Linked DNA regions of Nothobranchius furzeri. The protein of the gene in region 1 purifies or fractionates together with the protein of each later gene. This does not show direct contact. Links are inferred from orthologs where the notes say so. Each region holds a gene or a part of one and is shown in the gene's direction. Other genes may lie near its edges. The genes, in order: cdk5rap3; ufm1; type 2 phosphatidylinositol 4,5-bisphosphate 4-phosphatase.

What was found.
Region 2: the proteins of cdk5rap3 (region 1) and ufm1 purify together in Homo sapiens (co-immunoprecipitation; 3 studies listed by BioGRID and IntAct, with this or other methods). This does not show direct contact. The link is inferred for Nothobranchius furzeri from reciprocal best matches to the Homo sapiens genes CDK5RAP3 and UFM1.
Region 3: the proteins of cdk5rap3 (region 1) and type 2 phosphatidylinositol 4,5-bisphosphate 4-phosphatase purify together in Homo sapiens (affinity purification with mass spectrometry; 3 studies listed by BioGRID and IntAct, counting the BioPlex papers as one, with this or other methods). This does not show direct contact. The link is inferred for Nothobranchius furzeri from reciprocal best matches to the Homo sapiens genes CDK5RAP3 and PIP4P2.

What each region holds. Positions count from the first base shown.
Region 1 is NC_091756.1:50,106,207-50,109,614, forward strand, and holds the end of cdk5rap3 (CDK5 regulatory subunit-associated protein 3), read left to right. Parts: intron 1-1,154; coding exon 1,155-1,360; intron 1,361-2,246; coding exon 2,247-2,418; intron 2,419-2,636; coding exon 2,637-2,702; 3' UTR 2,703-2,764; downstream 2,765-3,408. UniProt on the Homo sapiens protein: Substrate adapter of E3 ligase complexes mediating ufmylation, the covalent attachment of the ubiquitin-like modifier UFM1 to substrate proteins, and which is involved in various processes, such as ribosome recycling and reticulophagy (also called ER-phagy).
Region 2 is NC_091750.1:62,920,371-62,924,124, forward strand, and holds the start of ufm1 (ubiquitin-fold modifier 1), read left to right. Parts: upstream 1-1,038; 5' UTR 1,039-1,117; coding exon 1,118-1,119; intron 1,120-1,220; coding exon 1,221-1,277; intron 1,278-2,134; coding exon 2,135-2,192; intron 2,193-3,754. UniProt on the Homo sapiens protein: Ubiquitin-like modifier which can be covalently attached via an isopeptide bond to lysine residues of substrate proteins as a monomer or a lysine-linked polymer.
Region 3 is NC_091759.1:18,777,941-18,781,694, forward strand, and holds the start of type 2 phosphatidylinositol 4,5-bisphosphate 4-phosphatase, read left to right. Parts: upstream 1-1,097; coding exon 1,098-1,160; intron 1,161-1,833; coding exon 1,834-2,070; intron 2,071-3,754. UniProt on the Homo sapiens protein: Catalyzes the hydrolysis of phosphatidylinositol-4,5-bisphosphate (PtdIns-4,5-P2) to phosphatidylinositol-4-phosphate (PtdIns-4-P).

The sequences.
Region 1 (3,408 bases):
TTATGTTTAATCGGTCTGTGTGTTCTGTCAAACAGAGACCAGCTTGTTTTACTAATATTAGTCGAGGCTCAAATCATAAATGTTTAAAACAATAAAGTCAGTTCACTGCTTCACTAACCAGTGGTAAAAATCGTGTTTAGGTGAGTGTTGGCCTCTTTTCTAACCATTAATATTTGTCAACAATTATTTTTGTCTTCCTAAAACAAGACAAAAACTGTCCACCTCTTGCTCAGTTTCTAAGATGTTTGGCAGAGGTTGAAACAGAAAATCGTTTTAACCCAACGTCACGAGCATGGGCGTAGTTTAGAATTTTTTTTGGGGGGGGGGGTATGGGGGGGGATTTACAGTAAGTATACAAACATATGTTTAAAGCTGCAGCCTAGAAGCTTTTATGTAATGTCTGGAATGCAGAACTGTCAAGTACACAGGTGGCAGGAACGAGTATCAGCAGAGCCAGTAGATGAGCTTATGGACAGTTCTAATGAGAAGCAGGCTTTAACACAAGCGGTTGTTTTCCGCTTGGTCCTAGTGCTCAACCAAAATATTGTTATTGCTCGGTAAATAGTGCAGTGGACAAAAATGTACTTTTACTATGTCCATAGTCAGGAGAGATTAAACCAATTAGGTCCTCTCACAATAAGCCATATGACTTTTATAATGGATTTTGTCTTGAACATTTTAGTTATTAAAACCACATTTTTCTCACTCTCTTTTCCTTCTGTCATGCTTTAGCATTTTAGCCACTAGCATCAACGTAAGCTGTTAGCATTTAGAGCAGCGAGTGTTCATCTGAAGGTCAAATATAGTATCTGCATGCAGTCTGAGACTCTTTGATTTCTTTGCTCACAGTGAAACTTTGATGGTGATGAACTCTTGATATACTGTGCAGTTCCAGAGCAAAGTGAGACAAAAAGTGAGATAAAAATAAAGATACTAATTTTTATTTTATTTCTATACTGTTTTTTTAAAGAGCCAGACATCACTGTTATTGTAGTAGAAATCAGGAAGTATTTCCTGGATGTCCAGTTGACATCAGTTATGTAGGATCTATCTTACAATGATCATTGTTCCTTCTGAAATGAAAATATTTTAATAATAACCTGACTCTGTTCGTGGTTCTGGTATTGTTTTTTTTTTTTTTTTTTTTTCCCCAGCTAGAGACGTTCCTCACCCAGCGCATCTGTGAGATGGGGGAGGAGGGTGATGTGGTGGCTATGAGCCAGTTCCAGCTGGCCCCCTCTGTCATCCAGAACCAGACCCAAGGACACGTCCAGGACATGCTGTCTCAGGTGCAGGACCTTCTGGGTCGGCTCACCTCTCTGCGGATGCAGCACCTGTTCACAATCCAGGCCTCACCCAGGTATCACCTGAGCATCTGCATCACCTACAAGCTGAATTTGGGTCTTCAAGACATCAGGAAATGTATCTAAAGGAGCATTTTACAGCAGGAGGTGTAATAAAAGACTAATCTATCAGCATTCATTGAGACACTAATTTTTATATATTTATTTATGGACATAGTAAAAGTACATTTATGTCCACTGCACTTTTTACCGAGCAAAAACAATATTACGGTAGAGCACTAGGACCAAGCAGAAAACAACAGCTTGTGTTGAAGCCCGATTCCCATTAGAACTTACTGTAAAGAACCCCCCCCACCACCACCACCACCACCACCACACACACACACACGCATACACACACACTTCTAAAGTCAAAACTACGCCCATGTTGTTGTGTTTATGAACATGTGTGTTTGACCTTTATTTTAATTTTTAAGCATCTCAAATATCTTTTACACATTACAGTTGTGCTACTTTTAAAGGGAATGTCTTTAAAATCAAATTTAAGAAAATATTTTACTCTAATTACTGAAGTTTCACAGCAAAATGTAAAAAAATTAAGACTGAAAATTGTGAATTGCAACTGGGTGGTAGTGGATCAGTGGGTAAAGCGGTTACCTATTAGTGGTTTAATCCAGGCTTCCTCACCACATGTTGAAGTGTCCTTGGGCAAGACACCACTCCATATAATCCCTTCAGTTTGTGAATGGGCTTTGTAATTAAAAGCTCTATGAGTGGTTGAAAACATTTCAAAAAGTGCAATATAGACATAGTATATTTACAATTTTACTATGACAAATGTGCAAATGTTATCATTTATATTGCCTACATTTGGTCTTATCGATATTTTACTAATTCCAAAAAAATAATTATGCTTGTTATTATTTTTACGTGTGTGTTCAGGTATGTTGAGCGTGTATCAGAAATGCTGAGACAGAAGCTGAAGCAGGCAGACATTCTGGTGCTGAAAGCCGCTACCATGGCTGAGAAGAGGCAGGAGGCCCTACAGGAGCAGTGCAGGCTGGAGCCTTGTGTTGACCTGCTGGCAGGATGCACCCGGGAGCTCCAGAAACTGGTATTACATTACTTTTACTTTTATTACTGCTGAGGGTGGGAGGGACTTTCCACTGGGAAAACAAAACAGAAAATCAAAACCCCATGTCACAAGATCTGTCTTAAAATAGAGGGAGGGGAGCCTAAAGAAGGAATATAGAATAAACTACAACCTCAGTCACTTCTATAATAACAAAGTATCATCATTTGTTATGACTGATTATTTGCTTGTTTTTGCAGATTGAAGCAGACATTTCTAAGCGATACCACAACAGACCAGTCAACCTAATGGGAGTCAATATTTAGTGATGTTCACCTGAATATTTTGTCATGATTGACAGAGAAATAAAAATGGTATTTAACTTCAACTCATGTATTTTTGTGTTTTATATATGCATATAAAACAAATATAAAAGACAGCTGATCATTTACAAACTTTTGGATCAATTGTAAAATAAATGGCCTTATATATGGTGTTTATGTTTACATATTTTTTAATTATTACAAAATGTTAGTTTGCTTTTATGTTTTGTCCAAACTCCAGGCCAGACCAATGACTAGTACAACATATTTTATGTTTTTATTCATAAAAACTTGAAGATGATGCAACAGTTGTGTAAAAATGTCAACATTTATGGTGATGGGCTAAACTCACATCTTCTGCCTAAGTCAATTATTTGTACAATAAATACAAAATATGTTGTTCCTAAATTATTTCTCTTGGTAAATTCGTTTTAGTTTTTTTTTTCGGCAAATAATTGTAGAATAAACTCATAACTCCGTGTTCTGAGAGGAGGGGATTTTCCGTTGGCTGATGAAAGCTTAACACTAGAATGTTCTACGCATGCTCTGTGTGTGCGCGTGTTTTCGCTAGAGCTAGGGTAGGCTAACCGGCCCAGCTAGTAATTTTGCAAGTCATGGAGGGCCATTTAATGAGGAAAGGCTGGATAAAGCTTTAACAGCAACCTCAGTGGAACTGCTAATGAAACCAGGCTTGATGAAGGGTTTAAGA
Region 2 (3,754 bases), on another chromosome or scaffold:
TTGTACTGCTACCCTTCGCAATCTAATGTACAGATGCATGTGTAGGCTGATGGTCTCTGGAAACGGTATTATCTCTATCTTGTCCACAACAACACGAAGCATGACTCGTTTCTATTCTAACCTTTGGAATCACTGGCGTTGTTGCCTGTATGTTTGACTGATCTTGTCGGTTTATATTGCTATTGGTTGTAATTTTATTGTATTAACTTGCTTTATTGTTCTTAATGTGTTTTTATTTTCTTGCTATTTTTTAAACTGTTTTTAATCCTCTAATCTTTATTCTTTATGATTTATCTATTTTTACTGTTCATTGTGTTATCCTTCCCATTATGGACCTTAAAGGCCCGGAATAAAGTTTCACTTTTTCACTTTTGAATAAAAAAACAGAGGGGAGAAGAATCATTTATTTAAAATGAAAACGAGCAAAAAAGAAAAAAAAAAACGATGCAAAACAATGGATTTCATCGTGACATGTCACTGTAGCTGTGTCTCAATTCAGGGTCTGCATCCTTCGAAGGACCCAGTCCGACGTTGGCTGGGTCCTCCGTCGGCCGAGTAGACCGGATGTTAACGGCTGTGAATTTCTTTTTTATTTTATTTTGTTTTTATTTTTATTTTTTAATTTTCAAAACTTTATTGAACAAGGTGAACGGCTGTGAATTTCAAGAGCATCTGGCTGCAGCCGCTCCGTCGCCTAGCAACCGTGGAACCGCTGAGCAGAAGGGAGAAGGAACTTCAAATGATGGAGCTGGAAAATTTGTTGAGCTTTTAAATAATATCCTTGGTTCTGGAGGAGTTAGAAGAGTTAGAATAGAGAATAGTTCTAGTTTTAGGAAACAAGATTGTGTTTGCGTGTCACCTTTATTCTTTACGGTAATTGTTAGTATTTTGAATGAATGCCTGTCAGTTATAGAGCGAAATAAACTTACTTCTGACTTTATAAAATCATAGATTCTTAATAAAAACTTTCTGAAAATATAACAGAAAATCACTTAAAATTATCTGCACGTAAACGCAATAAAATATTGTAATTTTACATTGATGACGTAGTTTTGGGGTCCTTCGGACTTCCGGGTTTAGGTAAACAGACTGTCAACGAAGTCGCTAGGCTTAAAAGATGTGAGTTTTGCCTTGTTTTAATGCGAAACGTTCAATTAACGTAGTTTTATTCAATCGTATCCGTATGTTGATAAATCATCCTTCATTCTTTTCGTCATTAGGTCTAAAGTAACGTTTAAAATCACCCTGACGTCGGATCCCCGGCTGCCGTACAAAGTGTAAGGACAGCTCAGCATTCCCGTTTAATGATAAATGTGTCGAAAACGTTGACCTAATTCTAACAAACATTCATTAAGGTATATTGATGTGTCCTATAAAAATATGTGCTAAAGTCACTGCTGTGTTAGCAAAAGTGATGCTGTGATTTAAAAAAAATACAGAAGAAAAGCTTCGATTCTTCACCAGTAACTCCGTAAAGACTTTTAGTTTACTAACAAAAATCTTTCTTTGAAAACACGGTACCTTGTAGTAAATGACAGATGGACTCCTACAATTTTGACAAAACAAGCAGATTTTAGGGAGTTTTTGGTTTTTGTTTCTAACTACTCGTCTCAAAGACAAGCCAAAACAGAAAGAAAATAGTTGTGACGGAACATCCTGTTGGCTCCTTCAGTTTTGTTTTAAATCATCAGTAAGCTGGAAAGTTCACCTGTGAGAAAATGCCAGTCTAAACTACATTTCTGCTAGTTTTTTTTTCCTTCTCATCCTGTATGTGCTGCTCCCTTGTCACAGCTTCTTTTATCTGCATTGCATCACTTGGTCATCACATTTGCAGCATTTAGATTTTTTAAATGAACGTTTTTTGGTTTTGCCCTAGTGTGGATCTGTTGGGTATAATCATAGAAGCTTCAAAGTGAAAGTATATGTATGTAACTCTTCCACAAATGTTTATTTATTTTTTTGTCTTTTAGTCTTTGTTTTCTTTTACTTCTTCTCATTAGCTTGGATGAAACCCACATCTGGGGGTGTTTAGATGTGCATGACTAGCAAGCAGGCTTGATTTTCAAACAAAAAGTCGCAGCAATTAGTCTTAGACAATCTTAGATTTGATATATTTATTTATTTTTTGTTGCAGGTTAAGTGTCCCAGAAAGCACACCATTCACAGCAGTTTTGAAGTTTGCAGCTGAAGAGGTAGGCCGACAGAGACAGGATGCTAGTCCATCACGTGGGTGAAGGAGACAGACAACCAGTCACACACTCACTCACTCCTATTACAGTTAACCATTTAACCTAACATGCACCTGCGTGATCTGTTGGAGGAAACTGAAGCACACGAAGAAAACCCACCCATGCATGGGGAGAACATGCTAACTCTGCATGTCCAGGTGTTAACCCTGCAGCCTTTTTGTTGTGCTACAGTGCTGCAAACTGAGCTGCCATGCTAATTATTAGCCTCTTGCTAATTAGTAAGTAACAACCGTGGTCCAGCCACAAATGTTTATCCTAAATGATGTCAAGATGCTTCTTTTGTTGCATAGAGTTTTAGTTCTCTAAATAAACCATAAGATGCATGGACTTGTTTTAAAGCCACTTGGATCAATTTCTTACACAGTTGTTGGCAATTATGGAGACGGGATATCTTGCACAGAAAATACAATTTATGTGTGTTTGTATTTTTTATTGTTTCAAATCAGTTTCAGCCACAAAGCGAGTTATCAATTACATAATAGAATTACATTTATCATTTATGCCCCACAATCAGAAGAAAATAGAGTTTAGTTAATCCCTGTAACAGAAGATCTAATCAGAATCTTATCTTTGTCAGCAATGGCATTTTACTAATTGAAGCTTAATGTTTGACTTCCTGTATAAATTATAGTGTTATTTTAAACAGGATGTTCCTAAATCTTTCATTTTTACACATCAGTTAGTCAAAATCTCAAGTTGAAAAATGAAAAATGTGGTGAGTTTCTAACCCTAAAAAGCCTGTAACTTTATGTTGTTGTTGTTATTGTTTGTGTAGATTCATCACTGTTTTAATGACCAATTATGTAAAAAGCAGCTCTGACCGACTAACTGACGTTTGTAAATCCAACCTGGTAATTTAGCAGACAGTAGTTTGGATTGTAGCTGGATTTTTAGCCACATCTGCTGACTTCCATCTCATTTATTTAACGAAACGCTACCTCTTAACTTATTTGTCACTGAAAAGGATTTTTAACTTCTCCTTATTTGATTTTGTGTGAGTAAACACGCAGCAGCTCGGCGTATGAAAGGCGTCTAATGGGAGCTGAAGCTGCTGACGTGCTGTTTGTACTCAGAGCTGGTGGGGTGTTAATTTGAGTCTGTTAGAAAGCAGCGCAGTGACGGAACATCATTTCACTGTGGATGTCGCTTGCTTTCAGCAAAACAGACTTAGTCCCACTGAGCAAAACGGGAATAAGACTGGAGAACTGTTCAAAAGTAAACGGTTTGCAGCGAGTTGCTGTGGGAGAACTGCTGTTTAGTCCAAGCTGCTCATAGATTTTAGAGTAAATAAGTGATTCTGTTTAACCTATTATTAGATGTCGGGTCTTTTGAGTTGTGTTGCTTTTTCTCCCTAAAAAACACTTTTTACATACGTTCTTTAAATTACCGTAAAGGTTTGTGCCATCAGAGAATTTTACGCAGATTTTAATAGTAGCAAATTTGCACTTTCAAGTGTTACACTCAGTATATTTACTGTAAATCCGTTTCCACTGGCTTAATCGGTC
Region 3 (3,754 bases), on another chromosome or scaffold:
AGACTTACTTGTTCATTAGAAATGGCACCACCTTTGCATCTGTTCGACATCTGAGTACAGAGATATTTCCACCGGTGAAAAACAGGTCCACGGCAAATTCGTTGCTGGTCTTTGAAGCTCTTTTTGGCTAGTTTTGTTCAGTTTCCTAGCCTAGTGAAACAACAAAGACCAAAACAACTTCTCCCGCTCACCGAACTCCCCATCAAAATGAAACGTCAACTCCTAACATTCACTCTTGTAACCAAATACAATACGTTTGAGGTATTTTGGCCACTGCAGCTCTCCGTACCCATTTCCTATTTACATGGGGGATTGGTTTAGTATGTCTCTCTACACAAGCAGGATAAACAGAACTCACTGCAAAAAGGCTAGCTGAAACACTAACAATCGTTCTCAAATAATAAAAAAAATCACGAAGCCAAATGCAAAGTTTAGGGCAGAACATTGACCCAGAGGTTCACTAATTGAGCAGATGCACGAGAATAAATGTAATTACCGCTTAGAGATAGAGCAAGCTAGTGGCTAGCGGTAGCTGCATCCGCTATCTCTAGAATGTTACTGAGTCATCTTGTTTCTTGTCTGAAATGAGATGGGTATTTTAAAAATATTGAGATATCGCCCAGCTCTACAGTATTTTTTTGTGGATGTAGCTGCTCCATGATTCATCGTGTCTTTGTAAATAGTTCCGCAACCTCTCACAAAAGCTTTGTTATTAACATCTGTTGGCTAATGCCGAGCAGCGAGCAAGTAAAATAACAAGGGTCTCTATGGGACAGGGGCGGGCTTAGCATAAAATAAAATTCTGTGTTGCATACTTTTTTACAGATTTTTTTAAGATCGTGCGTAATTCATGAAAAGAGGAAAACTTTTGGTAACTGCATTCAAATAAAGTTTTTCTAAAGATGGTAGCAATCAACTGAGTGGCCGTTTGCTCGTCAAGCTAATCTCTTTTTCTCCAAACTGAGGTTGTTAAAATAAACTTTCTACAGCTGTTCAGTTGTTTGTGACATTTCCCACAGAAACAGGCTTAAAAATACAAATGTCATTTTTAATTTAAGCTTTAAATTTTGACATTTTACCAAGAATGTTACCGAGATATGACTCGCTGCCCCCTAGTGGTCGGTTACAGAACTCCTGTTTTAACTTTTTCAGACCTGGAGGTTGAAATTTTGTGCTGCAGAACTAAGATTTGAACTGAGTTTAAAACACAACTGCTTATTCAAAGAACACAAGGATTGTGGGTAATGTAGTTTATTTAGATAAACCTCAGGTCATTGTTTATGTTTAGGATGTGCCAAAAGACGTCATGACGTCAGGTGTGACATCTGATTGCTTACTGAGGAATTTTCAAGGATGCAGAAAACTTCATCATTCAGTCTAATTTTCTGATTTTGTTAAAGTTTACTGGAGAATTGACATTTAGCACCTTAAATGCTGCGTAAAGAACCAAGACGAAGCATAGAAATCTGGTTTCCTATCAAAACACTTTAATTGGAAAATGCAAAAAATGTTTTAATCATGGCACGTCAAAGAAAATGATAGTGTTAGCATGAAGAGCACATTTTTGCCTCTAATTTAAGTCATTATAATAAAGGATGTATTATTTTTCCAGTGACGATTGAATCTTTTTTGTTGTCTGATGCTCATCGGGTGTCCTGTTACCAGGAGCTGTTCTGGTTTTCAGACCACAACCATCGAGCCTGAGGCTTAGGTTGGATGTTGTTATAGATGAGCATCTTGTCATCTTACCTCAGTGGACACAGAAGGAAAATCTTTACTCATATTCTCTTTCAGACATCATCAGGAGACGTCAAAGCCCGAAGCTAAAAGTAGAAACGAGTCTCGGATAACTTCTTTTATTTAAAAAAATGTAAACGTAGAGGTGTCATTAATGGCCTCTCTCCCTTTTGTCTTCTTGTAGCTGAGCTACCTCCTCCCTACACTGCCATCGCCAGCCCCGATGCAAGCGGCGTCCCTGTCATCAACTGCCGCGTCTGCCAGTCGATCATCAACCTGGATGGGAAGCTGCACCAGCATGTGGTCAAGTGCACAGTCTGCAACGAGGCTACAGTGAGTAGAAACTAGCGGTGCACGTTAGGGATGTCCCGTTCCGATATTGGTATCGGATATTGGCCCAATATCGGATTATATCGGACTGCATCAAAAATCTCCAATATAAGCAGTCCGTTCTGCATTAAGTTTCATTGCAGCAACTCTATCCAGCAGCGCCCAGATCCAGTGTGCAAAGTCCACGTGATCAGAACAGTGTTTGCTAGCAAGGAGCGATGTCGGCCATGCGGCAGTATTTTTGTTAAAAGTCCAAAAAGACGGTTTGGCTCGGTGCAACACTTGTCATGCACAAGCATCTAAAGATTGAACAGAACCGAGGAAGTTTTTTACGTCCACCCTCAATGTGCATTTGAAGCGGGATCACAAAACATTACATGAGGATTTTCGCAGTGTGTGAAATTGAATCTTTAGACCAGGGGTATGTAATTCTGGGACTGGAGGTCTGGTTTCCAGCACATTTTAGTGGTTTCTCTGTTTCAACACACCTGTGCAGCAGCTCATCAGGCTCTGCAGAAGCCTGTTAATCACCTGCTGATTAAAATCATGTGTGTTGAAGCAGTTAAAACTAAAGCGTGCTGGATACTGGACCTCCAGGCCCATAATTGAATACCCCTGCTTTAGACACAACTTGTAGCAGTTGGTCAGTGAACAATATTGTGTTTTTTTCCTTATGTCTCTTCCCTCAGCTGTTCACATTTATGCAACCAAAGGTTATTAAAAAGTCACTTGATCAAGCCTTTTCTACATTCCACACTACGAAATAGGTGAAAGTATGTATGATTTGTGCTGATATCATATCGGATTGATATCGGTATTGGTCAATAGTGAAGGCTGCAATATCGGTATCGTATCGGAAGTGGAAAAAGTTGTATTGGGACATCCCTAATGCACGTACTGGAAAAAATTCACATTGTGATTTTTTTTTTTTGGGGCGTAGTTTAAAATAAACATGAATTCTCAACAGATGAGTTAAATAGCAGCACTTTAAGTTGGCGTTTATGTGCCACGGGCGGTAGATTCATTCTTCTGGGTGAAACGGGTGTTTTTTTTCCAGCAGGACATAATCATAACTGGAGATGTTCCCATTTGATAACATGGCTGGAAATCAAACTCAGTCACGTGATTTAACCTTATAAAACAACTAGCTTGACCTTTTAAATTCATCCTGAGGTGGAGATTTTCAAACTTAATAACAATGGCCTAGTTTTAAATGTCAACAAGTTCCTCTCCATCATTAGTCCTTATTTCTTGGAGGACGCCAACGTCACAAAATGTGAGGCAGGCGGGGGTTCCGTGTTAGCTAGCAGGCTAGCATAGAGCTAACACGTTGCCTCATTTGAGCGGAAATGTTTGCAGTTTAGCCATATTTTATACTCGACTCTAGTGCAACAGCCGCTTGTAATGTGTGCAAACTGGGCATTTAACATGGCGGAAAGGCAAAGCCACCTTCTTATTTCTCTTTCGGCTTCTCCATTCAGGGGTTGCCAGAGCAAATCACCCGTCTCCATTAAGTCCTAGTCCATCACTAATACTCTCAGTTCACTGCGTCAACTCAGAAAAAAACGTGGAACCATCCGACTCTGAAAGATACGTTAATAATAGGGATGCACCGATACCGATACTGGTATCGGTGCAGATACCGATACGATACTGGTATCGGTAAAAGTTAACCGATACCAGGAAC